4 linked regions of the Drosophila melanogaster genome follow. The protein of the gene in region 1 interacts with the protein of each later gene in a pairwise test. Each region holds a gene or a part of one and is shown in the gene's direction. Other genes may lie near its edges. The genes, in order: CG14369, elB, Cpr92A and Pus7.

The links.
Region 2: the proteins of CG14369 (region 1) and elB interact in a two-hybrid assay, tested with the Drosophila melanogaster proteins (one large-scale study listed by BioGRID).
Region 3: the proteins of CG14369 (region 1) and Cpr92A interact in a two-hybrid assay, tested with the Drosophila melanogaster proteins (one large-scale study listed by BioGRID).
Region 4: the proteins of CG14369 (region 1) and Pus7 interact in a two-hybrid assay, tested with the Drosophila melanogaster proteins (one large-scale study listed by BioGRID).

The regions. Positions count from the first base shown.
Region 1 is NT_033777.3:13,589,654-13,596,451, reverse strand, and holds CG14369 (uncharacterized protein), read left to right. Parts: upstream 1-3,794; 5' UTR 3,795-3,837; coding exon 3,838-4,176; 3' UTR 4,177-4,820; downstream 4,821-6,798.
Region 2 is NT_033779.5:14,404,106-14,412,662, reverse strand, and holds the start of elB (elbow B), read left to right. Parts: upstream 1-3,113; 5' UTR 3,114-4,226; coding exon 4,227-4,295; intron 4,296-8,557. UniProt on the Drosophila melanogaster protein: May negatively regulate Notch-induced cell proliferation in the eye-head primordium. May act in leg and wing primordia to negatively regulate body-wall specifying genes and thereby promote appendage formation. Required for tracheal development.
Region 3 is NT_033777.3:19,595,633-19,602,752, reverse strand, and holds Cpr92A (cuticular protein 92A), read left to right. Parts: upstream 1-3,797; 5' UTR 3,798-3,918; coding exon 3,919-3,927; intron 3,928-4,261; coding exon 4,262-4,990; 3' UTR 4,991-5,251; downstream 5,252-7,120. Other genes in the region: CG7333 (uncharacterized protein), read right to left, coding at 157-268, 326-832, 890-1,307, 1,368-1,626, 1,686-1,872, 1,937-2,079.
Region 4 is NT_037436.4:8,506,596-8,515,686, forward strand, and holds Pus7 (pseudouridine synthase 7), read left to right. Parts: upstream 1-3,407; 5' UTR 3,408-3,489; coding exon 3,490-3,608; intron 3,609-3,668; coding exon 3,669-3,856; intron 3,857-3,917; coding exon 3,918-4,289; intron 4,290-4,344; coding exon 4,345-4,447; intron 4,448-4,506; coding exon 4,507-5,929; 3' UTR 5,930-6,412; downstream 6,413-9,091. Other genes in the region: ZC3H3, read right to left, coding at 1,003-1,386, 1,445-1,640, 1,738-2,283, 2,382-3,049; CG6683 (uncharacterized protein), read right to left, coding at 7,601-8,046, 8,105-8,252; CG6765 (uncharacterized protein), read left to right, coding at 8,494-8,570, 8,789-9,091.

The DNA.
Region 1 (6,798 bases):
CTAGCAAACCGTAAATCAACGCTAATTAAATAAAAAAATTGCTGAGCTATGGTAAAGGAATGGGCTAATTGACACGGACCTTAGATGTCGTTTACCAATATTAATACAAAACTTTCCCATTAGGTTCCATAATACAGTCGAGCACATGTCAAAACCAACTTTTTTTTTTTTTGCTGATACCGTATCACCGTTTGTCCGAATCTAAGTCCTTTTACTTTTTTGTTCCCTTTGCAGAAGTCTCGCCAGAAGTCCTGGATACAAATACGAATTTAATAAAGCGCATGAGTTGCATACAGCGATTGGAATTGGGAGCACTAATGAAAGAGTTAATTGAATTTTGTGCGCATGTGTCCACAAAAGTATTGGTTGCAAGGCGGCGACTGCAAATATGATTATAATTATTAATTAAATCTGTATTGTGTTGCATTCCGCGGTGGTTTTTCCTTTTAAAATCTCACTCCTTCTCGCGCTGGATGTCAGGCGACGACTTATCGTCGATCCGGAAAAGTGTGAAAAATGAAAAGGAATGCATTTGGTTAAGGATTAATTGCAGTTCAACTGTTTTAATTGAGATGATTTATATATCGTTATGCGGCGAACGAAAAATGGTGGATGCACTTTTCATAATCTTTAAATACCGGAAAATATCTTATCGTGTTTGCATAAGGCCTGTTTAATTAAAGTACTTGTATAATTTTAATTAAAAAAAGGTAATTTAATACCTGGGCTTAGATAAACGTGCGTGAAAATGTTGAACATCGAGTTGTGTTAATTTTCCAAGTCTTTTAAATTATTCTTTATGTTGGTGGGGGAAGGGATTTCACGCTGCTGTGAACTCCTTCTGCTCAGAAATACCTAAGCTTTAATCCTTTCAATTGTACACACACAGATAGAGCCCACAATTTCGCAGAATTCAATGAACACAATGGGTTCATTGCTTGAGGGTTTAACTGGCTCACATTTGCACTTCTTCCGGGCAACTTGAGGCATGGCACGTCATTGGGATGGGGTTTTCCTTTTGAGAGCGTATTCAAGGATTCTAGCTTATTATTCACATGATGCTTTGCTTGACCGTTTCCTGGCCTGGCCTGCTCGATTGGCCGGCAGTCGCCGGAATCTCTTGGAATCCGCATGGTCTTCCAAGAATCTCGCTTCTTGACCAATGCCTTTTATCATTAGTTTCTATTTGAGTTAAGCTCTCCTGCACTGGCTGGGCATTTAATTAACTCGACTGAAAGTTTGAATTTGACTTGCGTAAATTAATACATTGGCCTTGTTATTGGCCTCCTGTTGAACACTGGGCGGAAAATGGGTACCGCAACTATGCCTCCTCATCCCCGCCCCAGTTACCATTACTTGGTATCTGCGGATGGATGAGCTCTCTGGCTCTCTGGCTTTTTGGGGGAAAAACTTCACTTGCCACCGAGCGAACCCTTATCAACTTTTGCCACTGCGTTCAGCTAACTTTGCTTATAAATTTCATTCGAGTCATTTGTTGACACACCCATACACACGCACTCAGCCACAGAAGTAGATAGTGATAGCAGGAGAGACAGAAAGAGAGAGAGAGAGAGAGAGAGAGTGGAAAACTCATCGAACATAGATAGCACGCAGACAAATGCACACAATACAAAAGTCGCAAGTCGCGGAAATCGCGAAAAGTTGTTGAAGTTATCTGGGCAACGCAATTTCTTGTTCTCGTTTCGCTGCCATTGTTTATAGTTCGCCTTTGTATTTGCAAGTTTCACCCGAATGTGCAAATAGAATTAAAATACGACGGAGACGGAACTAACCCAATTCTGATTTCTCATTGCAGGGGGTTTTTTAGGTTAGTTCTTAAAATGGGGGATATTGGCTAGAATATCGAAATGATAAGTATTCCACTTTAGAAATTAGTTACAGCAAAGTGCAAGGTACATTTCAGATGGTTTGCACATGTATGTATAAGACTGGCAAAATGTTATATATTTTTATTTTATAAATATTGTTATTTAATATTAAAATATTAATCATATTAATATAATTTAAATGTTTAAAATAGCAAATACCCATTTATCATAGCGAACTATGAAGAGTATCTTTAAATCTGGAATATCTAGTTTAAAAACAGCTTAGTAGTTACTAGGTACCACTCATTCGCTTAACCCTTTTACCATCGTTCTAGTGTCTACTCTGTGCGCATTGCACTTGTTAATCGGGGATAAAAAGTACCCGGTGACACCCACAAACAGCGGGCCATGACTTTCTTTTATAACAAATATATTCATTTCATACTCGTTCGGAGGCAACAAATCGCGTGACATGCTGACAGCGGTACTTGGCCCTCGTGTTGCTGTTGTTTCTGCTGAATTTGTTGAGTGGAGAGTGTAAAACTCAACTATTGTCTTCATTTTTCTTGCAAATCATGCAAGGCAATCTAAAATGTTGACACATTGGCAAACACATATGTGGTTGTATGTTCACGCCGACATGGGCAAATCGGCACATATTTATATATTGTAGTATAGGGGTGAGGAGTACAACGGCAGCCAGGAACATTGTACACAAAAGAGGGTAAGAGAAAAAAAAGAAAGAAAAAAAAAAAATATTTGGCGCCCTTTTTGCCCATGTCACTCAAGTTCAAGGTTTACACGCTGTCGGTTAAGGTTACGCTTTTATGTATTATCGCTGAATTGTCACAAGTCTGCGCTTTGTCTCGCAACGAGCGCTTTGAAAAATTACAATAATTGTTATTTACGCATATCTGAACATGAAATGTGTCAATTGGCAGCCAACGAGCTAGCAAAGCGAACGCAACGCAATGAAAGAACGCAACAACGTGGCGTATGCGTAATGTGTGAAAAGGGACACAAGGTCTGGCACTTTTGTCGGGCGGCAAATGAGTGGTATTGGGTGGTGTTCGGTCGGAATGGCAGTAGTGAGGGTATTTGCGACGAGCATCAGACAAATGCTGTCAAGCCTTCATAATTTGGTTCATAAAGCGATTTAGGTATAAGCTTCGAGAGGGTGTTGTGAGTCCCTGGTCAAGCCACAAAGCCACATTAAATGATTTTTCTCGGTTCGAGTAGGTTAAATAGGTTACATAATCCTAAAAATTCGTTTTAAAATTGCACCTTTCACATAAAACAGCAACATGAAAGTATCGTGTTCGTATTGATTGAGTTATACAATTTTCCCGGCTTTATTTCATATGACTTTTTGCAATCGTGTTTTGACTGCTCCTGAATTTTTTATAAACAAATTTTAATTGCCTCCAATTAAGATACTTAAAAACGAACACCTATCGCATTGAAAATAATGTGCTTGGTTTTTCATTTAAAGTTGGGAAAACATAGCTATAGAAAAAAAGTTCTGCATAATTTAATGTTAATAAATCTATTAGCAGTATCTTTATTTATATTAAAATAAATAACATTAGGGTATCCAATCTTCATTGCATCTGCTGTTTTGAGTTCCTATGATTCTATACCACATTGATTGGCTCGACTAATACGTCACATTTGTTAGAACCTTTTTTTTGTCTTCAGCTCTTGTACTGCTTTTTATTGGCCACCAATTTTTTGCGGGCGTTCTGAATGAAGGCATTAGCATTGGCTTCAATTAGCGAGCTTTAAATTTAAAAACAAACGCCAATGGTGTTGGCATTAAATTCAATCGAAGTACTCACTCTACATATAAATAGGAAACAGCGGCGGCTCTTTGACTGGCAGTTGTGTGGAAATCATTGACGCGGTTTGTCGATTGAATTAAATATAAATATCATATTTTCATCGTTAAATTAAATAATTAAATATGCCATTGCCATTGCAATTGCGATTGCTGTTGCTGCCTCTGGCGATGATTTTGCTGCTGGGCACGCACTTGAGTGGCGCGTCGGCTGTTGACAAGGATGTGGCACCAGTTGGCTATGTAAAAACGGATTTGCTGTCATTGGAGCAGGAAATTGGCGGCGCTGCGGATTCGCAGCGAAATCTGCTTCCGGTTCGTCGAAGGCGTGGCATCTTCTTCAGCGGCAGCATCGGCGGATTGCCGTTCCTCAACTGGGCCAGTGGCTATTCTTGGGCATATCCTGGCTATCCGTACAACTACTATGGCTCACCATCGCCTGGCTATTATGGTTATGGCAGTGGCTACTATCCCGGCTACCTGGGCTATCAGAAAATTATCATCGGTTAATGCAGATTTGTGAGAGAACGAAAAGACAGAGCGAAAAATCGATTAGAGAACCCCTTTTCAATGTGAGATTATAAATAATGGCCAGGAAGGAGCGGCGTCGACCCTTTCGCAGTTTGTTATTTTACTTATTGTTGGTGCTTTTAAATTAATTTGCCGGACACAGGGAAAAAGTTGAGCTAAGTTGAAGAGGTGGGGCGCGTATAAAAAAAAAATGAAGAACATGAAATTGCACAATTTATATTCATTTTGCACAGATTTTGCATAAATCATTTCGCAGCGACCAAAATGAAACGCGTAACATAATTTTTAACCCTTGATAATTTTTTATGACAAGCATTTTCGTTATTTTCCCTCCGTGGGACCACCTTATTTGTTGCTGCTGTTGTTGTTGTGGGGCCGCAGCGAAATGCAAATAAAGCGGATCAAAAGTTTGCTGTTAAAAGAAGATTAATTGCAATTTGGTGGCAAGACCTGAAACATTTCGAACCCCACAACAACCCATCGAAAATCCGCTGCCCAATCGGCGCGGTGGGCAATGGGCGGTTGGTAATTAAATATTTTTAAGCTGTAAATGGTTTCCATTTACGTGATGCTGTTCTTATTTTGTATTTGCAATCAATAAAATTCATTAAACGCACAACAATAACAACCAACCAAAGAAGGGAACCAGCCAAATCAAATAAAATACATTCCTCAACGGTCTTAGTTTCAATTGCCACTCCACCGGCAGTTGTAAATTGTTACTCTATTATAAGTGCTGTCCTGCAGTTGTTGCAGTTTCGCAAGTGGCTATTGTTTATTCATTCAGATTTATAATCATTTTATTGCCGAGGTATGCTCAATTTTTTAATCAATTTACATAATTTATGCCCTTTTTATGAACTTCACTCCCAATGGGATCAGATGAACGCATTCGGTTTGTGAATTGTTGAAGAGAGCGCAGCGGAAAATGTTTCAGTTTTGATAGTTGATCTGCTATAATATTGAATTATCGTTATACAAGCAGTTGTCACGTTGTAAATCATTAAAAATTAATTATCGATTCAACAGGACTGCTGTAACAGCAATGGTGATTTTTGCCTTAACAGTCTCACAAACTCAATGGAAATGCATTTTTATATTGCCTGCTAAATGTTAAAAATGATAGAAGTATTAATTAGTGGGCGAATTGAAATAATTGTATCCATATATAATTATATAAAACTAAATTGATTTATTTTTTTGGTCATACATGGACGGATATTTAAAATCTTCAACATACATTAAACCATGATTTCAATTTAGAGTTCTGCTTAATATTTCAAGAGTTTTAAAATTACTTTTAGTTCTATACGATAGGGAAACTTTGTTTTAGTTAATTAGTATTTGAAGGGACTTTATGCTTAAATATCCTAGTAATTAGTAGATAGATAGACACATGTTTCGGGCACTTGGCTCCCATTCCCAAAATCCCATGCTTACCCCCTTTTTTTTTGTTAACCACCTGTAATTAATAGTTTCGTCTGACCACCTTTTTCACGCACAAGAATGGGCAAGTGGTTGTGAAAAGGCGGTCCAAATTGAGGGTATTCGAAATTTTAATAGAGCTGTCAGATGTGCCACGGCCACTTTTCCAGCTTTCCGCTTTTCCGGATGGGCGGGAACGACCTCCAGCCGGCCAATCAGTCATCCGGGAGCTGCCTACTCCGGGCACTTGTGCCCATTGTGCTTGCATTTTCATAATTGAAACGAGGTCAAAACCAGCGAACCTCATTAAAAATTGAATTGTTTAATTTTCATTTGATTTAATTAAGTTATTTGTTGGTCAATTAACCTTTTTTCCGCCGGTCGCTGTTCCGTTTGCCATTGTTATTGTCTGACATATCAATACGATGTACTATACAGTTTATATATACATAAATATATATATATATACAAACATATATATACTTTACATACAAATATGTCGGATGCAGTTGTTTGTGCTGACATTATATTGTTATTGTTGTGATGATTGCCTTTTAACGCGCAGAGTGGGCACTTGCAATTATGTTAGTGTGTGTGTGTCCTGGCGCCAATGTGTTGAAATTTATTAATTAAAAATACTTTTCAATTAAAGTTAATACGCTCAGCATTTATGTAATTCTATGTGTAAATACGCTGTAAACTCTTCAAACAACATTTCATGCAAATACCATGGCCAGCCAATTAAAGGGGGTTTTTTTTTGTTAGTGCAAAAAGGGCTTCTATGTATACCATACCCACTTTATTCAATGCGCTATGTCAAGTGTCTAAAGACCACTTTTTCTTTGTAGTCTTTTGTTATGGCCCGGTTATTTTTTACTTAGCACTTGGCGAGAGGCTTAAACTGCAACTCAACTGCGAATCAACTCCGCCGTAGTCTGAAATCCGGAACATGGAACACGGGGTCGGGAAAACGGAGTACGGAGCTCGGCGTACGGAGGAGTCTATCTCATTATGCTCAAATGCACTTGCAAAGGCTGGGAACTCTGGAGCTGCTCACAGGGCGATAAACAATATTCATGATTATGAAAACTTGTGCGGCGTTCGCTTTCGCACTTGAAATCTGTGAAAAGCGAGGGCGGTTTGCACAGATCAAGGGCTCGAATGGAGCACTTTTGA
Region 2 (8,557 bases), on another chromosome or scaffold:
CAACCGTTTTTGTGTGTGTTGCACACAGTTCTACATGAAGAAAGCAAAGCCCCTTTGGCACATTACTCATACGCCCCAGTGGGCAAATTTATGAACTCACCAGCGCACTTGAGGCCACGACAAACGAGCATGAAAAAAAAACACAAAACCCTACAAACACACACTCCTGACATCCATGTACAAACACTGGGTAAGTGCGTTTGTATGTTTATTGGAGAGCAAAGTATAAGTACGGGGCTAGTAAAGCAGCTTGTAAAATATGCCAGGGGTTAAAAAAGAGTGCAGCACATAATTCATACACATATACAACGGGAAAGTCGCCCGGAAAATGTGGCCAAAGGGTAAAAAGATGAAAAGCATAGGAGAAAGCGTGGCAAGGGGTAAAGCTCAACTGCAATCGAGCAACGGGTAAGTAGATGCAGCCGAGGACTGCAGCATCTCTTAAGAGGGTACAGCATACAAATGGCAGCACTGCGGATAATTACATATGCATTTTAGTTTATTATTATTGCTTTCAACAAAGAAATACATTAATATTGATGAACTACTTTTAAACGTTTTAATAAAACAAATGCTTACACATTTAGTATAGCGAGTTCTACAAAAGCGATGGGGTTTTTATTTGAAGCAAAACATTGCATACTTATAGATACCTTTTGAAAGACTAGTAAATATATAGTCAAATAGTAATGAGGAAGTTTTTCCAAGCCCATTGTCACATCTCAAATTATTCCCGAGACATCCCGCAAACTAACAAGCACTCAACCACTTTGGTGACCATTTTGTGTTACTAAAAGGGCTTTTCCGGTCACATGTGCCGCCTCCTCGTCCTGTAAGCCGCATAAATGAACTGCTAAAATGCTAACAAAAGCCCGAAACGGAAACGACCCCCGCACCGTGAAAAACGCACCCCCGCTTATTTGTCTGTTGGGGATATTCGCTTGGGCGCGGCAGACAAACGCGTACGAAAAAAAAAAAGGATATGGGCAAACCCGGCTCTCTATTATAATTTCCCTTTTTTCAGTTCGCTTGTGTGGTTTGTAATGTGTTGTGGCCACAAAATACTGTTAGCCACTTAATTTTGTGGTTTACCCAGAGAGCGAAAACGACATATACTTTTTGTGTGGTTAATTGAAACTCGATTGTTTTGTGTTAAACCAGAAATGAGTCTATTAAGTCCGAAAACGAAACTAAAACCATATTGTGAAACAAAAGGAAGCTATAAAACGTTTGACTCTGTCCGCCATTAAAGTGGCATCTAAATAAACATTTTATGGTTTTTGAAAGGCGAAACTTTCAAAAGCTTCTTAATGAACACGACAAAAATCCACAATGGACGGGGGCATTTTATGAGAGCATCACCAAAAATGCTCCAAGAAGGCGTGGAGCAGCAGTGGCAGCTGTCAATATATGGCCGAAATATGTAAATTATTGATTGTTAATTCAAAGCGCCACGATTAGTATAATTGTGTATTTCTCTTTCAAATCCTAAACATTTTAATGCCATAAAGTTAGAGCAGCATTTCGCCTTTTGAATATTTAACCAATTGCGTGGTCTTGGTTGTGTTTTTACGACCATTTTTGCTTTTTACGATGATGCGGACCCAATAGAGCAATTTAACCAGAGATTATGACTCCTATATTTGATTTCTTAAATTGCCCTAACGTGGGAGCTATGATTTAGATATTAAACTGCATATGTACATATTAAGCATTAAGAGAAATTTAATCGGCAAACTTGAATTACAAATTTGTTTTTTTTTTATTAACATTTTTTAATGTTAAAGATGTTACGATATTACTTTCGAACATTCCATTCTTATTGCATTTATAGCATCTAAGTGAGAAACTAAAATTGATTTCAGTGTGCAAAATGAGGGATAAGTTCGTCTCAGACATTTCCCGTCATCATGTGCAACCCGAGATTTTCATTTTCGCCAGCTGTTTTCTGTTTACAGTGGGGAAAACTCTCTCTGCGAAGTGAGGGAAATACACCAAATCGTGTTCTCTCCACGGAAATGGTTCTCTCGTTTGGTGCTCTAAATCATATTTCCTCGGCTTGCAGTTTTTAACACATTCCCCAACCCCTCCTCACACACACTCTCACACTGGCACACCAACGAGCGCCACACACACGCCCACCTGCTCGTAAACAATTATGGCCGACGCCGTTCCGCTCTCCACACGCACACAGGCGCCATGGCTGCACACACATGTGTGGAAATAAATTCCCCACAAAACACTGTGAAACAACAACAACAGCAACAAAATTACCCAAAATGGCTACACAGAAGCGGCGATCGTCCAATGAGCGTGTTGGTGTCGGTGTGCCCAGCGTTGTGTGTGTTGTGTTGGCTCTATTTTTAATTTCCAATATTTTATTTACACATTTCTAGAATTTTTTAGCTTTGTACTCAATGATAGCGCGCAAAGAAAAACTTTCCAACTGGGCGTATACGCAATATTTAAAACTTATTGCTTGATCTAAGTGTGAACTTACTTGTGCTCAGAATTACAAATTTCCAAAAATCTTTCCCTACTATGTGTATAATAAATGTTTAAGATTTTATTTAATAATATTAAAAAATCCTTATAATTCTTGGTACATAAGTATAATATAAAAAAATGTTTCTTAAACAACCGGGTACCGTGATTACCCTTCATTTTATTTATCAAATTTAAAGCGGAAATATACATTTTCAAAAATATCCAGAAATTTCCGTTACTTCCCATCGTCAACACTGCTTCTCCGTCACATAGTATCCGTCTACTACTAACCGCCAATTCTACTACGCTTTTTGGCTCTCAGCTCCCACGCGAAATTCGCTGCCTCAGCAAAAAGCATGCGCGCTCAGCAAAGAGCGCAGAACTAAAAACGTTTGCTCTCGTGCCCCAACTACTTCGCTCTTTCGCTCTCGCGCCCTAAGAAAAAGGGGAGCGCATGGCCTCGGACAACAACAAAAGCACACTTGTTGAAAACGAAAACGGCCACAAACAACAAAGAGCGAACTGGTTTTCAAGCGAGCGCGAAACTACTGAGAGAGCCGATTGGAGAGTGGGGGTGATACGAAAAGAGCGAAAAGGAGCGTGCACGTCATGTTGTTTATAGATTTTTAGTCGAATTTCGTTATTTCACGTTTAAAGTTCGTACGTGCGCTGAACGGACGGACTGCTACGACCGGAGTGTTGTGTTGTGAGTGCGAAAGCGTAAAATCGGCCAGGCGGATACATATGCACTTCCCCCAAACGCAAAAAAAAAAAAATTTTCAAAATATATACGAGAAAGTCAACACAATCGCCTATTTTTTAAGTCGTTTTCGAGTGATCCTTGTGCTTTATCAAAATTAGACTGAGTTTAAAACAAAGTATACATGTGAAACAAAATTAGCTCAGTAAATAGCAAACTTTTGGATAACCCCACGTTCCCGGAACCATCTAATAACGTACGTGCCTCATCATAAAACGCGCCCTCAACGAGGCATTCGAGCGAAACCACTAACCAAAAACGGCCAAGCCAAAGAAATAAATAAAGTACATACATACCTATGTATATCTAACAAAAGGAAAACCCATAAATGAATACATTGTAAAAGCCCATGCGTGAATCAAACGTAAATATTGTAGATGCAAGCCAGCAAAGAAAGTAGTGTGTAAATTCTTTTTTACACACATATGTATCGTGTACACATATAAATAATAAATACCGCTGAGGCAATTATAATACTTAATGAATTTATTGCACAATTAAAGCGAAGCCAGCATATCACAACAACAAATTAATATGCCGCTGGCGTGAAAGTCACAACTCGACGCATGAGAAATCCCCCCTGCGCCACAGCACTGAATTATTAATGAAATCGAATTACAAACAAAGCCCAGCAAGCATCAGCAATAACGATTGCGAATCGAAATCGGAATAAATAATAAAAAGAGGAAAAATAAAAAATAAACACAATAATAAATTATCATAAATAAGTACTCACATCAACGAGAACCGCGAAACGTGGACGGCTTAATCAGCGAAAAGTCAGGCAGCTGGAAAATATTTCAAGCAAGGCGCAGGCGCCGCTTTTCACACGAGTTGGCAGCACACGCCACATAAATTGGCACTTACCGTTAAGCGCACTGCCGTACTTTGCGGTCGGGACAAAAGCAACAACCACTCAACACCTCCACCGAACCACCAAAGAAAAGCCGTCAAAGTGGATTTAACAAATTATAATAAAATGCTGCAATCCAGCAATCATCATTATTTAAGACCGGATTATATGACAGCTGCAGCTGCCCCAACAGCGGTAAGCCCATCTCTTTGTCTCATTTTTGGGGTTTTTGGGGATAATTCTCACAAGGTATTTTATTCGGCAATCAGAAATTTATTGCGTTTATATGGACTTAGCGCTTATCGCCTAATACAGCTCAGTGATTATTGCGATTTCTTTTTCAGTGAGTTGGTTTAGCTATCTAATATGGGATAAAATATTAATTGAAAGGGATAGGTATCTGATGAACAGTTTCGGTTAAAAGTCATTAAAACTATTATTTCAAATATTGATTGGTCTTAAAATTTAATAATATTCTTAAATGTTGATAAGAAGACGTAAATTTCGTATTATTTGTTTTCGCATTCTTCACACTCTCTTCAGAGATTATTATTTCACTTTGGTGTTCCGATCGTTAAGTAGAACAAATCTTGTTAAGGGTTAAGTTCTATATATATCAAAATATGAATAAGAAAAATGCCAGAATAGTCATGGTTTAAACAGGATAAGAAGAGTAGTACAAATTCTAGCAATAACACCCAATTCGCTACGTTCGATTATAAAACTTGCAGCTATGAATAACAAACTATCGACATTTCAGACATCTGAAATAGATTGTCGAGCCATATTTCATATATAATAAAAATGTCGACTGTAAGCACTCGCCACTGGCGAAATATGTATGAAACTACGGCACCAATCCGAAACGAACAACCTCCTCCAAACTTCCAGAAGACTTTGGGCCATGTGCTGGCAAAACGGAACTGTTTTGCGGGGTCTGGGAAGAGGCAAATAGCGAATTCACAATCGTAAAACGATAAATTCTCCAATATCTGCACATAAAACTTATTTATGTTTGTTCATATTAAACTATGTAAATCTGCAGCCCAGTTGCCTCCGTCTGAAAGTGTTTAGAGAGTCGAGTGCACCTCTGGAAATTGTATCTAAATTTATGGCGCGCCAAATTTGAATTTATAATGACAGAAAACAAATGCAATTTCGCACACTTACACACACCGGCACACACACACACACACACGACCGTAGTTCGAGGAACTATGGCAGTTAATCAGAGTCAAAGTTGTTGTGGTCCCCATTTCCCCCACTCACTTTATCCAAAACTATCTCTCTTCGAAATGGCGTGAGACTCATAAATTTTCATTTTAATTTGTTGAGCGCATTTTGTTCGTAAAGAACGGAAGCAGTTTATGGCACCAGCACGATGAGTACATTCATTAACTGGGTAATTTGAAATAGCGTTTTCGGAGCTACGTGATTTACTGATTTCGGAGAGTAGAGCCCAGCCATTTCCATATTGGTCGTGTGAAAGCTTTTCAGTGGCGCAAATGAGGCAAAACCCATAAATCAACGGATCGTATATGCATACGAGGCCCAATGATGAACTGGTTCCGGTGCCAAGTGACTGACAGATTCTGTGAATCTGGGTTTCATTAAAATTTAAGTGTTGCGTCTTTAAGCAACGAGATGTAATCTCAAATTCTGTCGATCAGTAAATTATGACGTTCTATTAGTATACTCGCACTAATTATTTATGACGTTCTATTAGTACTGTAATGAACAAATATTCTTGCTAATACGTTTTTCTTTAGAGACTTAAGAGCTTACGCGCGGCACTTTGAGTTAATTTATGTTTACGTGTCTGCCGGTGACTGACTAACCTTCTTCTTTTGTGCTTTATCTGCGATACTATCTGCGAACTTATAAATTATTCAATGATTAATGGCAGCTGCTTATAATTAATTATAATAAAATCAAATAAACTAAGCCTGACAGCTGTCAGTGTCATCATTTGTATATCTTTTATGTGGCGCCCCATAAAAGCAGCGACATACACAGAAACACAGAAACCGAAAGAGAGAGATCTTCAAAGTGACTGTTGATAATTTGCTGTCACACGTTGAAAAATTACAAAACTTTTTGACCGAAGAAGGCAGCGGCGTCGCAAAATGGAAATAAATGCGACCGTTGCTGAGCTATCTGTTGGGCAATAATTCAAAATCTGAAATCTGAAATGTGAACGTGAACGTGAAAGTCAGCTTCGGTTCCAGTTTGCGCGGGCTCATGTCAGAGCTTAACATGAGCTCAAGACCAGTCAGTCAGTCAGTCAGTCGGACAGACAGACAGTTAAACTGACAGAGCAGCAGAAAAAGGTAAATAAAGTGCAAATGTCAGCTGACCGCAAACATCATTAATATAATTAAATGTGTCAGTCAAGCGGCCATTTATGCAGTCCGACGTTCATTTCAGTTAACCACAGGCTGCTTGGCAGCGTACGGTTTGGTTTGGTTTGGTTTGGTTTGGGCCACCAAATAAACCCAACACAACTGGTCGGATCTGGCAGTTAAAGTGTGCGCTTGACATAACGGCTCCGTCTCAGGCCTTTCCCCTGCGAATTTTCGCCCCCAATGGGCCATTCTTTGGGCTTTGTGCTTGCGTGTGGCTCTAATTAAAGTGTCATCAACAGCTGAAATGCCTGGCTACAGGCTACAACAAATGAGTCGAGCAGAGTTGCTCCAACGTGTTATGCCGGTGATAAATTGCCATGTCTAGAGCTGTCATGTTAATTTTTTGTACTCGCACACAAATAATAGTTTTTGTCCAAAGTGTTAATTAATTCTTGGAACATTTTAAATATGTGAAATGCGAGACAGACAAGCGAGATACAAGATGTACAGCGAAATTGCTATGGCACTCTAATTGGGGTTGGGCTGGGTTAAAAGTCAATTTACACGAGGTGTATACATTTTCCTAAGCCTAAATAATAACAATGATCGTTTAATAGTATGAAAAAAATTCAGGAAGTCGATAAAATCCCGCCTGAAGTAAACGGATCATTTCATTTTTAGACTGCCTCTTATCAGCGTTTATAAATAAAGCATTAGTCACATTTATGCATCATGTACTGTACCCTAATCAAATCAAAATGCACAATAAATTCCAACAAATCAATCAATCGATCTGTCTAACAATAGCTTAGCCTGTTGAAATTGCAATTGGACTGAATTTCATATAGATTATCTGGAAAACACTTGGGTTTGCGGAGCGATAAGAAACCGATTAGGAACAGACTTAAAAAAAAAGTATATAGTCACTGGATCGATATCTGCGGCAGATCATTAATAAATTTATGACATTTTATGGTGAGACCATAAATTTAACGATCCAATTTCGTTAATAAGCAACTATAAATATCGAGTAAGAAATAGAAAGAGCAATAAAACTCGAACAGCAGCGTCCAACGCAGTATTTCCGATTCGGACAAACAATATTATTGCCGTTTAGGGTAACAATTAAACGGCATTTATCAGTTAAAACTCGGCCCCATCCAATCGTGCTGGCAACACCTCCGAAAACCCCACCTTCAATTCAAAACCATAGTCATAACCATTCATGGCAAATATCATTTTGAAAGCTAAATGCTTGCGTATGTACAAATTGAATGGGTGAAACTCAATGAATTCATTTAAATGCACGCGAGGCGGCAACTATGATAATGAATTGCAATCGACGCTTAAACCGCAAAATAATAACCCGTTTTTTATGTATTTTTTTTTTTTCTCCATAGAGTTAAGTCGCGGCATTACAAATTATGGCCCGAGATAATCGATTTGGTGGAAGGGGGTGGCCAGCAAAAGGGGGCTCCAACAAATTAACCAATAAATTCATATAGAAGTAATCAAATTAATGTGCCCGCTGATAACTGTCAATTGCATTATCATCATCGCCATTAACAGCATCATGAGATGTGTCACAAACTTAATTGTACGACTAAACGGGTTGCGCCAAGTTTAAAGTATACGTTATATGCAATACTTTCGTGTTATTTTGAAATGCAAAAGAAATGTACGCAATATACATGAATCAATATTTAAAATGTATTTATTGCTACTTAAAAAAGATTTCGTTTAAAAGGTTTCGTCACTTGCATCCCCCATAACGACCTTAATTATGTCCGTGCACTTGCTTATGGCGTCGCCATGTGACAACATGGTTTACCTTACACATTTTCCCAAATTGGTTTTAAAGCCGAGGCACCGAGTGAAACAAAAAATCCCATAATTCCCAAATGTCCAGGGGAAACGCTTGACCGTTACGGCGGCATTCTTAATGCTCTGGTAATCTGCTGAAAATTAAATGGGTTTCAAATGGTATCAATCATTAAGTTGGTTACGGGGCGTATGAGTGATTGGCTTATGAATGTATATAAATATTAATCAGCTGGCCGCTCAAATGACCGTTGACAAAGACCCTCAAAACAGATCATTGGAAAAATGGGG
Region 3 (7,120 bases), 6.0 Mb from region 1:
GCATATAATTCATTTGCTTTGATGAATTACGACAAACTTATGACCTTTAAATATACTAATTTAATCAGTCTTCGTGGAGGATACTTTAAGTCGGATGACAATGACAAACTAAGTCTCAGTGTTCTCAGCCAGAGGTTCACTTTAATTTGTCTTCAATTATACACTTTCAGTCCTAACATTTTTTTCTTTTCTTGAAAAACAAGGAAAGTAGAGGAAGCTCTCGTTCAAGGCAAACTTTTCTCCATCCGCCAAGGTTTCGGGCAACTTCCTAATAGGAATCGACACAATAAATAATTTGTTCAGAATAACAGTTATATATACTAACTTGTTTAAGGTCTCCGGTAAAGTGAGACAAAGTCCAGCTCCAAAGAACATCAGGCAGCTAATGAAGATCGAGGGGAGAGGCTTGTAGTATTGTGCCAGGTAGATCACATAGAAGGCCAGTGAGCTGGATGCCAATCCAATGACATGGATGTTGGATACCGCCTGTCCTCTCACACTGGTCGGAATGATTTCCGCCGCATACTGTATTTCCGCATCGTAGGAAACGGTGGCTCCAAATCGTCCCAGACCTACCATGATAGCCAACAGCAGGGCGTTCTCCGTGGGATCCAAGTGGGCTATCATGAAACCCGTCGCCGTGGTAATAAGTCCACCCACAAAGAGGGCGGTGCAGGCCATGCCCTTGCGTCCGATCTTGTTCTGCAACAAGAGGATAGCAACTCCCGCTGGGAGGTATACAATCGATGTGAAGGAGAAGAGCTTAAAGGGCGAAGTGCCTAAGCCCTCCATATTCCGGTTAATCACATCGCATGAGAGGGTTATAATGACTCTACAACCGAAAGAAGGCATTAAATAATGCACTAAGATCCAAAAGTAAAGAACTTACGACTTCACGAGCAATGTCAAAGTGAATCGACGCAACCGAGGGGTCAAAAACATGGCTAAGAAAGTGTCCTCGTGACTATTAAGCTTGTAATCCTGAAGTTCCCTTTCCCGATAGTATTTGACAAACTCATCGAAAACGGACTCCTCCACATGTCGCCTATTGAACTTGGCCACTTTCTTTAGACAAATCACCGCATCGTCGTACTTCCTTTTGGTCAAAAGCCACTGAGCACTTTCGCAGATCAGGAATGGATATATAAGGACACCCAGTGCTGGAAGAGATGCCAGCCAAAGGTAGCGTCGCCAATTACCAATCCAAATGGCGGCCCAGGGCGAGGTCATCAGTCCAAAACAGTAGAATACAGCCAAGATGATGTTGAGGCCAAAGGTACGGCTCTTGGGGCTTAAGTACTCAAAGACTGACGATATGGGGAACGTAGATTAATTTAACCTTATATTTTGATTTAAAGTTATATTACCCAATATGTACATTAGGTAGTACATGGTATCAGTGGATAGCCCTGACATAAATCTGGAAAAGGCGAACCAGGGCAGCGTGTGCACAAAGGAGGTGATAAAATCCCCAGTTGCACCACACAAGGTGGCCATCAGCAGGGAAGGCAGACGACCTACTTGATCCGACAGATAGCCAAAGATTATGGTGCCCACGACTGAGCCCATGAAGAAGAAGGATTGGCCCACTGCTGGATGATGCGATTTGTCACAAACCCATTTGAGCTGAAGTGGGTTTTCTATATTGTAAATCTTTTCAACAACGTTTTTCAATGGCTTCATACCTCGGTGGTAATGCTTTCGTAGCCGCTCTCCCTGTTAAAAATCCAATTCCTGCACTTTCGGTTCGTAGATACAACACCTGTGCCGTTGACTACGCCCAAAAGGGGCGTGCAGGATGAGGCGGATATGTTTTCATATACCGAGCGAATCCCTTCAACACTGAGACCATTAAGGTCAGCATGGAAGCACCTGCATAAGAAAGATTGGATATTACATGGTCGGGACCAATCACCCATTTTGTGTCCACACTCACCAATGCTCTGGTGTGAAGGTGATAAGGGTCTGCGAAAAGTAGTGCAGTGATCCAAGAATATTTGTGTAGCCGTACAGCAAAAGGATCATCACCTGGAACCTGCCATAGTTTCCACACTTATCCAGAACCTGACTGAAATCCATCAGACGTTGCTTCGATGACATAAAAAATTTCCAAAGCGACTGACTACTTCCAACTCCCTTTGAGAACTGACCAGAAGCTAAATTAAACTGCGCTGGGAATAGCCATAAATTTATCTTTAGCGGCTTTAGGCAATATGTTTCATAAAGCTAAAACAGCTGGATGGGTTTTAAAATTACAGATATACCGTCAAATGTTTTGCCAGCTGTGAGCCCTGTAATTGGGAAAATATCTACAGGAGATGTCACATCTATCGCGTAAGTTTTTGTCGAAACAAAATTTTTGCAATTAAAATACCTACATACATACCAATATTGTGCTTAACTAATCCATTATTGACTAGATTTTCCATTCAGCCATATTGGCAACTTTGTAGCATTAGCCTGCCATTCTTGTTGATCAATTGCTTTGATCTTCTGGCTAAAAATAGTTAAAACAGCTGACATCGACTGGCCCGGCGGTTGGCACGACTTTGATTCTTTGTTATAGTTAGTTGTCGCATAAACAGGCCCGATGGTAACAGCAAGGGTAAGACAATGCATGCAGATGTCAATAGTTTTCCAGATGCCAGATACAAATTTGCAGCCATAAATTAAGCTCACAAAACGGTAAACATGAGAATTGTCGCAGACACTTGGTCGTTAGAGGCTGGAAAGGGTATTTTTGGCTAATCAGGCACTCTTAGGAACTAGCTGCAAACTTTTTTGGTCCTTCCAGAAATTATCTCAAGTTTATCATTGATTATAAACTATGTAACTGATCAGTATTCCTATTACAATGTGTCCTATCATAGTCAGCTTTTAGCATCTCCGCTACGTAGCAACCATTTAAGGGGAAGATCAAACAGAAAACCAGTCTTCAGCTGAAGGATCAGTCATGAGTAACCTTATATAGTCGTCATGCCACTTTTTGAAGGGTATTATTAATGACATTATTTGCCTAGACTGCAAGTGGTTGTTTGGCCTGGTCTGTGGGCCAGACTAATGTGCCGACAGCAGCGCGTTGACCTTTTGCTTTATTAGGCTGTTGTGGCGAGCCAGTCGCCCCTGTTTCCGCCCCCCTTCTTCGGTGAGCCTCTGGCTTTTGGGCCCACTCCAGGCACTCTTAATTCAATTGTGGACCACCTGACCTTTTGCGCATGCGCTGCAACTGCCATTTCATATGGAACCTCAACATCGCCCGGTGCAGCTTGTTCTTCTTAGCTAATTACGCGGCAGCCAAATGCAGCATATCCTAACATCCAGCCAATGTTAATGTAACATTTCAATTGTGTGCGGCAAAATAAATTTTCACATAATTGCCAAAAGTCGGTGTCCAAGCGGGTATTGAAAAGCGAATCGAAAACGAATCGTAAACGTCGCAAAAGTGAAAGGGCAAAGCTCGGGTTGGATTGGCTCCGGGGTCTGGGGACCCTTTAAATGGTTTAGCGGAAGAATAACCTTTCTAAGTCGACACGATAACTGCGCCAAAGTTGAAGCCAGGCACACGATTTGCCGCCAGGTGGGCAAGAGTCAATCCCCGCCCCCGTGGCTCCGCAGTACTGGTCCGCGCCATGTGCTTGATCGCTGGCCCAAGACACCGAAGACTCCGTCTGGCCGGGTCTCTCTTGATCTGAAATTAGTTTATTGCCTCGACTGCGCCATGTGAAGCAGGCGACATTTGCCGCCGTTTGCCAGTATAAATGGCCAGAACTTCCAGCGAACGCTTGCAGTTTTGGTTACTTCTTCTAGCGCGATCGTCGTCGAAACCAACAATACTCCGGCCACTCTCTACGTGTGGTGTCTGCTGAGTCTGTGACAACTGTGAGCGAGTGGAAAGGATACCCCTGCAAGGACATCGTTATGCTGAAGGTGTGAAAACAAAGGATACCAAAGTGCTCTTATAGTCTGGACAATCAAGTTTAAGCCGATTTAACATATTCTCAAGGGGAATGCCAAGATGAATTAACCAAGTGTTCCTATTACTAAAAGCTTATATTTTATTCATACAAAGAAAATTAGTGCATAAAGAAGATAGTTTAAGTCCTAATGAAACCCGTCGAATGATCCGAGTTAATATGTGATTTGATTTAAATTAAATTTAATTGCCAAGAATTATTCTAAACAATTCTTCCCTGTCCTCATATTACTTAAAGCTTATTTCAATTTAATCGCTTTCAACATTTTCTTTTAATTTTTTTTTCAGATTTCCCTGCTGAGCGCCATGCTCGGCATCGCCTATGCGGGCGTGATTGGACCCGGACCATACTATGGCGGTCCAGCTGGTCCCGGACCTCTGCACCACTATGGAGGATATGCACCGCAGCATGGGCCCCTGCCAGGTCCCTATGTGGCGCCCAAGCCGGCTGCTCCCGAACCCTACGATCCCGACCCGAAGTACTCCTTTGGCTACGACATCCAGGATGGTTATACTGGTGACCTGAAGTCACAGCACGAGACGCGCCACGGAGATGTGGTGAAGGGCAGCTACTCGGTTGTGGATCCGGATGGAACCAAACGCACCGTTGACTACACAGCGGATCCCCATCACGGATTCAATGCGGTGGTCCGCAAGGAGCCGCTGGCCTACAAGGCACCAGCCCACCTGGCACCCGTCGTCGCACCTGCACCCGCTCCAGTACCAGCTCATTACGGCCCAGCTCCGGCGCCTCCACTTCCGCCGGTGCCCAAGGCTCCTCTGCTTTCGTATCCTCTTGCCTTAGGACCTTACCACCGTGGTGCTCCCGCTCCTGCACCAGGTCCCGCTCCCGCTCCTGCTCCAGCTCCGGTGTCTGTGCCAGTGGCTACTCCAGTCCTGCCCTCCGCCCACTTCCATGCCGCCTATCCCGCCCTGGCGCACAGCCCCTATGCCCACTATCCGGCTCCAGGTCCGGCCCCCGCTCCAGTGGAACCCCATGCCTACTACCATCACTGAGGGACCAAGGTTCTCAACTATCTGATCTGATTTGATTCGACTTCATCTATCGCACGCAGCTTACACTGACCCAAAACTGAAACTCCGGCTATATCTGTGCCAAACGCTGTACTCTCAATCTCTTACTCTGTGTTCTTCGAGGGATTTGATACCGATCCAACATGTAGATTGATTCTAAGTTACCCCTAGCCTATGTACACGTCTTTAAGAAAATGTTGTTGAATGGTTAGTCTAGGAAATAAAACGAGAATTGAAAAACCTAACAAATTTGTTTGCGGTCTTCCCTAGAAACTATTAGATTGAAGTTCCGAAGCCAAGAAGAAAATAGTCCCACAAAAAGTTTTTAAATAATTTAAAAAACAACGTTTTAACGCAATTGATGAGTGTTTTATTTATTGTATCAACTTTTCGCAATGGTTCATATATGTATATGTTATATGATATCGTATGTGGCATATCTCATATGTATAATTTCTGATTATGTATAAATATGTATATGTGTGTTGTATATAAACGTTTCGAGTATGTCACCGTATGTTATAAATAAGTTTATTACAATGCATAATGTGTTATTATTTATGTATTATGTTTTATGTTTAATAGGTTCTATGAGCTACCATTCGTAGAACATACTGAAATGTTTTCGATATCGATATAAATTTATGTACTCCTCAGCCGACTTCAAAAGTTCATCAGTGTGCAGAGTGCGTTTTGGTCTCGCTGCACTCGATTAGGTATACAATTTAAATACGATTATAGTCCTTAGTTTTGTAATAAACGGTATCAAAAGATAGGTACAATTGAGTCATGCCTGCTACCACTAAATTAATTTCGAAGCTTCTATTCCAACAAAAACGATTAGTTGCCAAGCTCGGGGCTTTGTGTCTATCATTATCCGTCTGATTGATTTGATGTGTACGATTATTTAAACTAAGGGTCTTTAGGCTGATATACCATACAAAAGTGCTGTGCTCTAGAGGCCTTTACAGTTGGACACAATTTAGCTAAGTAATCTGCTTAGAATAAGAGACTAATATACGGTGTACATACCGCTAATATAAATAAGCGGCTAATATAGCTCACAGTATTCCTTGACAATTGTATAATATTTAATTCATAATTTCTTCGTTGATTGTTTGGCTTCGTCTCGGACTTCTCCGTCCGATTTCCTCGTCGGTTCTCGCGTTAGGTAAAAATCTATTGTAGACAACCACTGGATGATGAAGACTATTTCGGGATATGCTTGAATTGCGTTGCTTGATATCAGTTGTCAGTATATAAAATTGTGGACAAACAAATGGCAGCTTTGGCTATTCTCAACTCAGATCTCAGTTACTAGACTTGATGCTTTTAAATTCGTCCTCGACTACGTACTCCTAGAGATGGCTTTACCCATATAAAGTTTATATATTTGCCGTTGAATGGGATATGTTTCACTAATGATTAAATAGTTGACTTAAGCATTTTTGTTTCGATTTTGGTTCATTTGTTTATAACTTGAAACGGAGGGTTTTCATTTATTAAACTTGATTGGTTATTGGTAGGACATCTTTTCCACACTACGTTTCGGTTTCGGTTTGGGTTGGTACGGTTTGGGTTAGAAAAATACTCATAGTTGGGACATTTTACTACACAGAAGTGGTTGAATAATTTGCTAACTGCATTTTGTTGATAGCTATATCTCTTTATAAATAATTCTTTCTATATATAGTATAGTCGTGTTGCATTTTTTACTAAGTGCCCGAAAATTCTAGTGAAAAGTGAACCTAGCTTAGATAATTTAAGCTGATAGATGAGAAACATAAATGATAACAGTTTCTAAAAATGTTTCCATATTGTCCTTATTTTCGTTCCTAATTTTTGTATAATTTCGTTAACTAAAGGTGGAATTTCAGAGGAAATAAACTAAAGAGTTTCATGTCAATATATAGCTAATATCTGATATATCCATAAATATTTATCCATCTATGGCATATCTAGGTTAAAACTTTACTCTCTTTCGGATATATATTTTGCTTATGTTGATGTGAGTATTGTACGATTTTGGTTATCAAGTTATAGACATCTATATGTATCGATTCGATTAGTTCTTTGTGGTATTTAGGTATTTTAAAGCAGTTTTCAATATCA
Region 4 (9,091 bases), on another chromosome or scaffold:
ACACACACACACACACAACACAGCCACACACACTGGAACACAAACGCGGGTCAAACAAGTCAAGCAACTTTTTTCACCTCTTTGGCCAATCTTCGGATTGCCTTCCTTTTTTCTCTTTTTTCTCCTCTTGTTATTAGTAGCATTTAGTTAGGAATGCACCAAAGCGAGAACGTATCGGAAAAAATGTACCAACAGCCACAAGTGCACAATTGAACAAAAATTCGGTTGGAAAATGGTTTTGGCCTGGTTTTCTGGACCAAGACGAAGCGAATGAGAGACGTTGTGTGAAAGAGAGTTTCGAAAATTCCCGATCGCGAACAGATGTCAAAGCCAGTGGACGAGTTCAAAGGCCATTTGCCGCAAATCTCCCATGTTTGTGGTCCGCATTTTATTTTTGGTAACTTCACAGCCTTTTCGCTTTTCTTTTTGGCCTGGTGAGCAATAAATTTGCAAGAGCCACCGCTACACACGCACGAGCACTAACACACACTCACTGTTTTTGTTGTTGCTCGAAACGGAATCCGCGTTTGTTGTTCAGGTGTTGTACGAGCCGCATGCAAAATTCAACTGTGGCGAGAAAATCGAGACTCGAATCGAGAGAGCGGCTTAAAAACAGGTACACAACTATGTGGCGCCACAAAATCCAACAACAAGTGGTGCCACCTGGTCACACTGCACGATCGGCATGTTGCCAGATGGTTGAATACACCGCGAAAAAACTGTGATTTATTTTGGTAATAATCTTAGTTTAATAATTTATATACATAAACAACATAAAACGACTAATGCAAATGTTTACATTTTCCTCGAGCGTAGCAAATATATACCCAACCAATAAAATGTATCTTTTATTTATTTTACGCAAATAAATTTGTCTTTTTGAATATTTTATTAAAACTTGAAAATAAGCTACTAAAGATAAATCTTAGACTAAACGTTAAAACAATACTTAACCGAATTAATTTGTACCTGAAACGTTGGGTCCATAGCCTTCGCATAGCCTTATAGCTTTTCTTCGCCACCTAAGGGAATAAAAGAGGGTAGAGTTCCCAGTTGAGGACGTCGTCGAGGGCAAGGGGCACCCGCTTCCTTCTGATCCTCATCCTCCGCTTCAGGTTTCTTCTGTTCCACATCATCTCTAGTCAATATTGCTTCCGCTGGTTCCTTGTGGGACCCAAAGTAGCGTGAACTGGTGGGCAACTCATCCGCTGTAGACGATTCTTTCGCGGTATCCGTGAAGGCGACAGGTTTACTGCCCAGTTTGGGACGCGACTTGACTTTGGCCAATCGCTTTGATGGCGACTTCTTACAGAACACGCACCTGGGTAATTCGCACTTGCCCTTGCGCTCCAACTCGGGACAGGAAAACTCGTGACGTTTGTTGCACTTAAAATGTTTTGGAGTTAATAGGTTTTCAATGAAAATAAGTGGCAGACCTATTTACCTCGGCAGCCAACGGACAGTAGCCGCGCACAAAGTCAATACAAATCTCGGTCTTGCTGCTCAGCTTCTTGTGTAGGTACGGGCAATCCTCGCGAACGCAAACGCCGCGCAAATAGTACCGACAGACGGGCATCTTCTCCAGCGTGACATTATGGGACAGCAGGCATTTGGGTTTGGTGCACTCCCCGCGCAGAAAGCTGCAAGTAAATGATTTCAAAAAGATAACCGCATTGCGAATTTCGAACATTGGACGCCATCGAAGGTTTAGCACTCTTCGCTTGGCCAAGGACAAACCTGACACAGATGGCAACCTGCCGCTTGTCGTGCAGCTTGCGGCACTTGCCACGACTATGGGCAACGCACTTGCCCAGCTTCTGGAAGATGGCACAAGGCACATTGGTCTTCACCAACGATTTGTTGAGCAACGTCAGGCTTCTCTGTTTGGCGGTGATTAAATGGGCTCGCGACACGTGATTACTGGTGCGTACAAAGACATTCAGTGCCTTTGGCGAAGCAACGTAGGTAAGGCCGCCGATATCGATGCGCCTCAGGATGCTACGATTTACGCTACTCTGGGTAGCACCAGTTGATGAGGTTGAAACTCTGGTCAGGCGGCAGCCGGAAGGATCTAAAATGAACTTATTGCCGCTGACGAAGAGCGTTCTGCCGGACAAGGTACGCTGCAAGGTCCTGGGACTCTCCGATTTGGCTACCCTAGCGGAGGAACTGGCATCCAGCTTGGTTATTTTGTTCTTCGATATCTTCTTGTACATCACACCGTGTATGCTGACCATGCTCAGGGATTTGTTAACGCCCAGCTTCAGCGCCTGCGGCTTGGAGCTGTAATAAAAGTTAAGTTAGTTGATGTACATTACCTTGTCTAACAGAGTCGCCTGTTGCTTGACTATTTTCAACTGCTCGTATCCGATTTTCATTACCTCAGTTTTCTGTTGGGCTGCGCTTCATTGGTGCGTCTCAGGGCGTACTGGCCCACAAACTCGCGTAGAGGACGACGCTTTTTGACCAGCGGTGTGCAGGTAAGTGATATGGAACGCACTAATTTGTACCTAGTGCGTTTAGCAGGTGGAGGAGGATGGAGGGCAGCAACCGCTGGCGCTGCTTTCAATGCTCCTTGCCTCACAATTTTCCGCTTGGAAATGCTTACCAATGGAGGCTGCACCAGGCTGGAAACAGTGGGCACAGGTACTGAAGCAGCGAGCTTCACCGCCGGACCACTTGCCACCACTGATGGCTTGCGCACGAGACACGTGCTCACTTTGCTGATGATCTTGGCGGGCGGAGGAGGTGGAGTCGCCAGTAGGTGTATCGTTGGATCCAGTCGATAGTGCGAGGCGGAAACTTGTTGCATCATAAGCTGCTCCTGCTGCTCCCGCTGGTATTGGTCGTACATGGCCCGCTGGCGATTCAGAAAGTGCGGATTGATATGGATCGCGGGCTGAGGCTGCAGTGGCGCCTGGAACGCCTGGAAGGGCACTTGGAACGGCAGCTGATGCGCCGTTTGACCTTGCAGCTGAAAATTCGGATTGATGTACACCTTTCGCGACATAGACGGCTGTGCCTCGTCGGCACTTATATGCGGCAACATTTCGTTGCTTCCTTGGCTTAACCTAATGAATTAATCCGTTCCAATTTTTGGTTATTTCTCAATTTTTACACTTCTTTCCAATGCTTCTTTGTATTGCACATTTTCTTTACATTACGTACGCAGTGTGAACTTGATCTGGGACCAGAAAAATACCAAAAAATACTGAAGTATAAATGAGGAAAATATACTAACAAAAGTTTTATGATATGTTAATATTAAGCATGTTTTTAAATTATATTTATCATACAATATAAAAAAAGAGGAATATTTGCGGATGAACTTATGCTAACAACCATTTAAGAAATCTATTTCCCGAATAAATGGCACATGCGGCCACCCTAATAAACCTAAAAAGCTTATTGTGAATGGGCACATCATATGTTGTGCAAAACGTGGATTTCATTTGCCGACAAATTTTCAAACGCGAATTTTGAACCAAGATGGGCAAGGATCGGGGCAGAGGACGTAGGAATAACCATTCCGGGCCATACAACAAGAGCAACTGGCGTGGTCAGAAGAAGGATCGCCCCCAAAACAATGGTGGCGGTCAGCGCAACAGGTACAAATTAAATCCCATAAATAATATCGTTGTTAACCGGCGTTTTTCGTTGGACAAAAGTGCTCCACAACAGAAATCCACGCTGCTGGAGACCCAAGTGGGCATTACGGAGTTCACTAACCCGGAGGCACCTGGCTTCACGGGAATACTTAAGTCTCGCTTCTCTGATTTTCACGTGAACGAGATTGATAGCAATGGAAAGGTTCTGGAACTGAACGATCTCAGTGTGCCTAAAGTGGCTATTGTGGGTCTGTATTCACCAATTATCCTGCATACTTGCTTATGCTCATGCATCTCATACTATAACAGCTGTGGCCGAAAACGAACTGGACAACTGGCGGAAAGAACTGGAGGCAGTAATCGGCCCGGAAGTTTGGCAGGATATAGCCAATCTGGCTAAGGCCAAAAACGATCCCGCGATCGAGCAAAAGGTGGAGATTGATGTGACCACTCTGGATAAGGAGCAGCGAACACAAGTCCACCAGATGATAAAACAGCTTTACAAGGGCAAGCTACTGTCCACAACCATTGGACAGCAGCAGGCTAAGCCGAAGGTCCAGGAGGAGGCATCTTTGGAAAATAAGGATGCGGCTGAAGGTGAAACCTCAACCCAGAAAGACTCACAGGTGCCGGCAGAGGAGAAGAAGACTATAAAAGTATTTAAACCAAAGCCAGGACGCGGTTAGTAGAAATGATTACCCAGGGAATTCCTTTTTTTATGCATCGAATTCCATAGGTGACAAACGCTGGAGCTTTCCGGCGGATTACGTGACCTTCCTGGTGCACAAAACCAATTTGGTTACCAGCGATGTGGCCTCTACTTTAGCAGCGCGACTGAAGTAAGTTTGATCAAATTTTAAATGCTTTAATATACTAAGAAAACATTATTTTTCTACAGCTTACGACCATCGCAGGTGAACTACAGCGGCATCAAGGACAAGCGGGCCAAAACCACCCAGAAGTTCTCCGTCAAGCGTCGTACACCAGAGAGCATTTTGGTTGCAGCTCGCTCCCAACGGAATGTTCATATCGGCAACTTTGGATTCGAATCCAATACACTGAAGCTAGGCGATTTGCAGGGCAATCGTTTTCGTATTGCCTTGCGACACATTGCCAAGGAGAAGCGAGAAGAAATCGAGCAGGCACTGCAATCATTGAAGGAACGCGGCTTCATCAACTACTATGGCTTGCAGCGGTTCGGCAACAGCGCCAGTGTCCCAACCTATGAGGTGGGTGTTGCTCTGCTCAAGCACGATTACAAACTGGCCTGCGAACTGATCCTGAAACCCCGGGACTCGGATGTGGAGTTTTTGCGTCCCATACGCGAGGAGTGGTGGAAAAATCGCGACTCCGCGGCGGCAGCTGCACAGATCTACGGCGAAAAGTTCATCGAAAAGAAGCTGCTGGACGGCTTGGCCAGATTTGGTGAATCAGATTACTCATCAGCTCTGCGGCAGATACCACGCAACATGCTCATGCTATATCCACATGCTTACCAAAGCCTGATCTTCAACAGGATAGCGTCTAGACGAATTAAGGAGTTCGGCTTGAAATTGATACCCGGGGATTTGGTTTATGTGGAGCAGGATCAGTCGGAAGCCTCGGAAGAGCAGGCGCAGCAGGGCGAGGCCTTGGAAGAGCAAAAAGAAGAGGAGCCTAACGATGAACCTCTGGAAGTCCCCGAAGGGGATGAAGCCATCGAAGAGGAGTCGATTTTCAAGCGAAAGGTTCGCCCGCTCACAGCAGAAGACATCGCTAGCGGCAAGTACAAACTTTGCGATGTGGTCCTTCCCCTGCCTGGACACGACATCACCTATCCCAGCAACGAGTGCGGCGCGTGGTACGAGGAAATGCTCGCCGAAGTGGGTCTTTCCTCGGATCAACTGAAGCACAAGGAGAAGACATACGCATTGGCTGGCGCCTACCGCAAGATGATCATATCGTCCAGTGATCTCAAGTGGAGCTTTAGAATGTACAATACGCCGGAGGATACACTTATCGCCTCCGACTGGGAGCTATTGAAGAACATTCCGGTTGCACCAGAACCAGCTGAAGCTGAGGCCAATTACATGGCACTCCTGCTGGAGTTCTCGCTGCCCACGGCTGCCTATGCCACCATGTTTTTGCGAGAACTCTTAAAGCAGGACACATCGTCAGCATCGCAAACGCAGTTGGAGAAACAGGCAATGGCTAAGGAGGACAATGAAAAGAAGGCGGTAGGAACCCAGGAGGAACAAATGGAGGTGGTAAAGGAGGTGGCCGACGAGGATGGGCAGGAAACTGAGCAGGCGGAAACTCAGGGGGCCGAGGAGGCGGTGTAGGCCAAGTGAGATACCGAAAATCAATATGCTCAGGAAATCAATTTTACGCGCGCTTCGTATCCAACTTCGAACCAACCACAACAATAACAATGCGCACGTGAGGACGAGGGCTGCTCCCTCTCTCTCTCTCTCTCACTGTCGCATCCCGTGGCTCGCACCCCGTCAATCTCAATCGCTCTCTCTCTCTCTCTCTCTCTCGCCTGGGAGAGTCCTTTTGGTCCTGTTTCTTTGACTGCGATTTTATTCGTTCGGTGGCCACCAACGCGAAAGCTCAAGCGACGCGCTGCGCAGTTTCCCCAGCTCAAAAGTCCAAGTCGCACGGTTTTCCCCAGCGTTCTCAATGAAGAGCAATAACAAATTATTAATTGACAACAAATAACGAACAAGCACGGTCCCCCAAAAATCCACGGACTCCATCCAATTCATCCAGTGATTTAAAGAGATTTTAAACCAAATAAAAAAACCAAGAGGCGAGACAAGGTGAATTTCCAGTTAAATGTAGCATTTAAACGTTTTGGGCGCGTACTTTGAAAATCCATTTATTAAGGCGTAAGTATACATTCGAGTCTACAAATTGTTTATAACTTTTACGACAACACTGAACTAAACAATCACAGAACTGTACAATATTTGATTTTGGCTCTGGCAGCCTATTGATTTTTGTTGTGTGCTTGTGCTGGAAATCAATCGATAATACGGTGTTAATACCAAGAGCTGAGTCCGGGGATTGGGAATGGGAATGGTCTAGTGGGTAGGTGGCTGGCCGTAGGAGTAGTTGGTTCATATAGTGGCTTAGTGCGTCGGAGGGTTCACCATGTACGTGTGAAGTAAGGGGGACTCAGTCGGTACGAGGGGGTAGTGGTAGTGTGGCATCAGTCGTTAAGGGTGCACGACGCTCCTCGCTCGTTATGTTTTTGTTTCGGCCCACTGCTCCCCCTGCGGCAGTCGTCAAATTAATAAACTAAATGCTTGTTTTGGCGTCGTCGTCGCCCTGTCCCCGTGCTGGAGGCCTTCCCCCGATCCGATCCAGACATGGATATTGGACATGTTATTGCTTGCGCGCGCATTCTTTGACTCTTTGACCAGTTCCCAGCAGCAGCTGCGTCATAGTAGGAGTTTTTTGGCGTGGCTCAATTCGATTTTCCCTCGCCTACTCCACCTGCTCCCCGCCCGCCTGTTCAAAGTTGGCTTTTGCCACACAGATAGCTTCCTACTGCATTACTATACACTCCCGCAAGTCTCTGGCTCTATAAATGACCTCTGGCGACAATTGATGCTTTGTTTGGGGTTTACCAGTTGTCTTGAATTTTAAATTGCTAATCTTAAGCCTCAAATAAAATAAACTATTTAATCACAGGCGTGTTAATGTTTTATCATATCATACAATGCAATAGTTAGTTTGTATAGTAAACTTCATTAGATGCGAAGATTAGGTTAAATGAATGGATTAACAATATTTTTTAGGGAAGCATACATTTGGAAAAAGAAGTTATTTAGTATTCGCTTAAGATAATTGTCCAGATATATAAACTATAACAAAAATGACTTAATTATTAAACAATTATATGATCAGTGATGTTTGCTACTTTTGATATCCTATCACGGCATGTATGTATTTAACTTATCATCATGGCAATCTTCCTTTATAACTATATCATCTTGGCAATCTTCCTAAATAACTATATCATCGATTTGCTCGTCGTTCAGGGCGCGCAGATTGCATTTGCATAGGTAGGCCAGAATGCGTTTCTCCGCCTTAATTCGGTTTGCTTCGCCCAGTCCTTCAAGCAGGGCTTCTATCCTCTTTTCTGCTTGAGCCACTGGCGTTGCATGGGCAGGATTTGTGGGTGGTGCTGGTGCAGCTCCCGCAACGGCCAGCTGCTCATCCATGGCCTCCTGGAGCGGATCCTCATCATCGTTGACCTCGTCGCTGGATTTCAGTGTGCTCCTACTCAGATCACCCGAATTTCGGTGATTAATCGGATGGTGGTGATGCTGCAGGAATTTCAAATGCGGCAGAAGACTCCAATCGGAGCCAGTGCCTCCGGCCTTTTCTTTGGCCAGCTCCCGACGCTGTTTGGCCACCAGATGATTCCAACGACTGACACAGGCACTAGCTAAGTTAAAATATAATGAGGAATTAGGGAATATTTATACAATTTATCAGTTTCTTACCTTCTGAATTTAATGAAGTGGCGATGCTGCTCCAGATTTCCGGATGTCGCTTCTTATGCGCTTCGTAGGGTGCGTTTCTAAGTTCGCGCTCATAAAGCTTGGGATTAGCCCTAACCAGCTCAATAAGTCGCGTGTCGAACTGCGACATTTTGATATTTTCAAAATAAACACAAATGAAAATATGTAAACAAATGGAAGCTAGCGAATAAGTATGACCGTTGCTTCGTGTGAGAAATATGCTGTCACAAGAGCATGGTGGCTAAACCCTCTATTCACCACTCCTTGGGTGGTGTGGTGGGATCGGGAGATTCAAAATAAACACCCCACTGGCGGCATTTATTGATTTATTTATTGATTTTATCGTTGTACAGGAGCTGCCGGCCGCAGAGATGGCCGCCGAAAACTATCACCTTAAGTGGGACTCACACCTCACCTATCTTAACTCTTCCATAGCCACACTTTATAAGTAAGTACCACTGTACCATAGTTGGTACATATTTGAAGTTTTTTGTTTTTTGTAATTGTGATCTAGCAGCGTTTTTAATTGTTTAATGTTAAAAACATTAAATGTATCAGGGTCAGAGGATTAAACACACATTTTCTAAGAACCCTTCTTCAATATTCTCCAAGAGTACTACAAAATACGTAGATATGCTATATTAACGCATCATATTTCCCCTTTAGGAACGAAAAGTTCGCCGATGTGGTTCTGTACAGCTCCTACAACAGCAGCGGCATCCCCTCGGATATACCCACAGTGGGCATCTCGGCCCACAAGTTCATCCTGAGTGCTTCGTCCCAGTTCTTCGCCACCATGTTCGAAACGGCACCGATCACCAATCCCAATGGAGTGCTGTATGTGGTCCTGCCGCCGGATCTTAGCCATCGCGCCATCCAGATCCTGGTTCAGTACATGTACAGCGGCGAGGCCACAGTTTCCAACGACATACTTAACGAGGTCCTGCGCGGCGGTGAGATCCTCAAGAT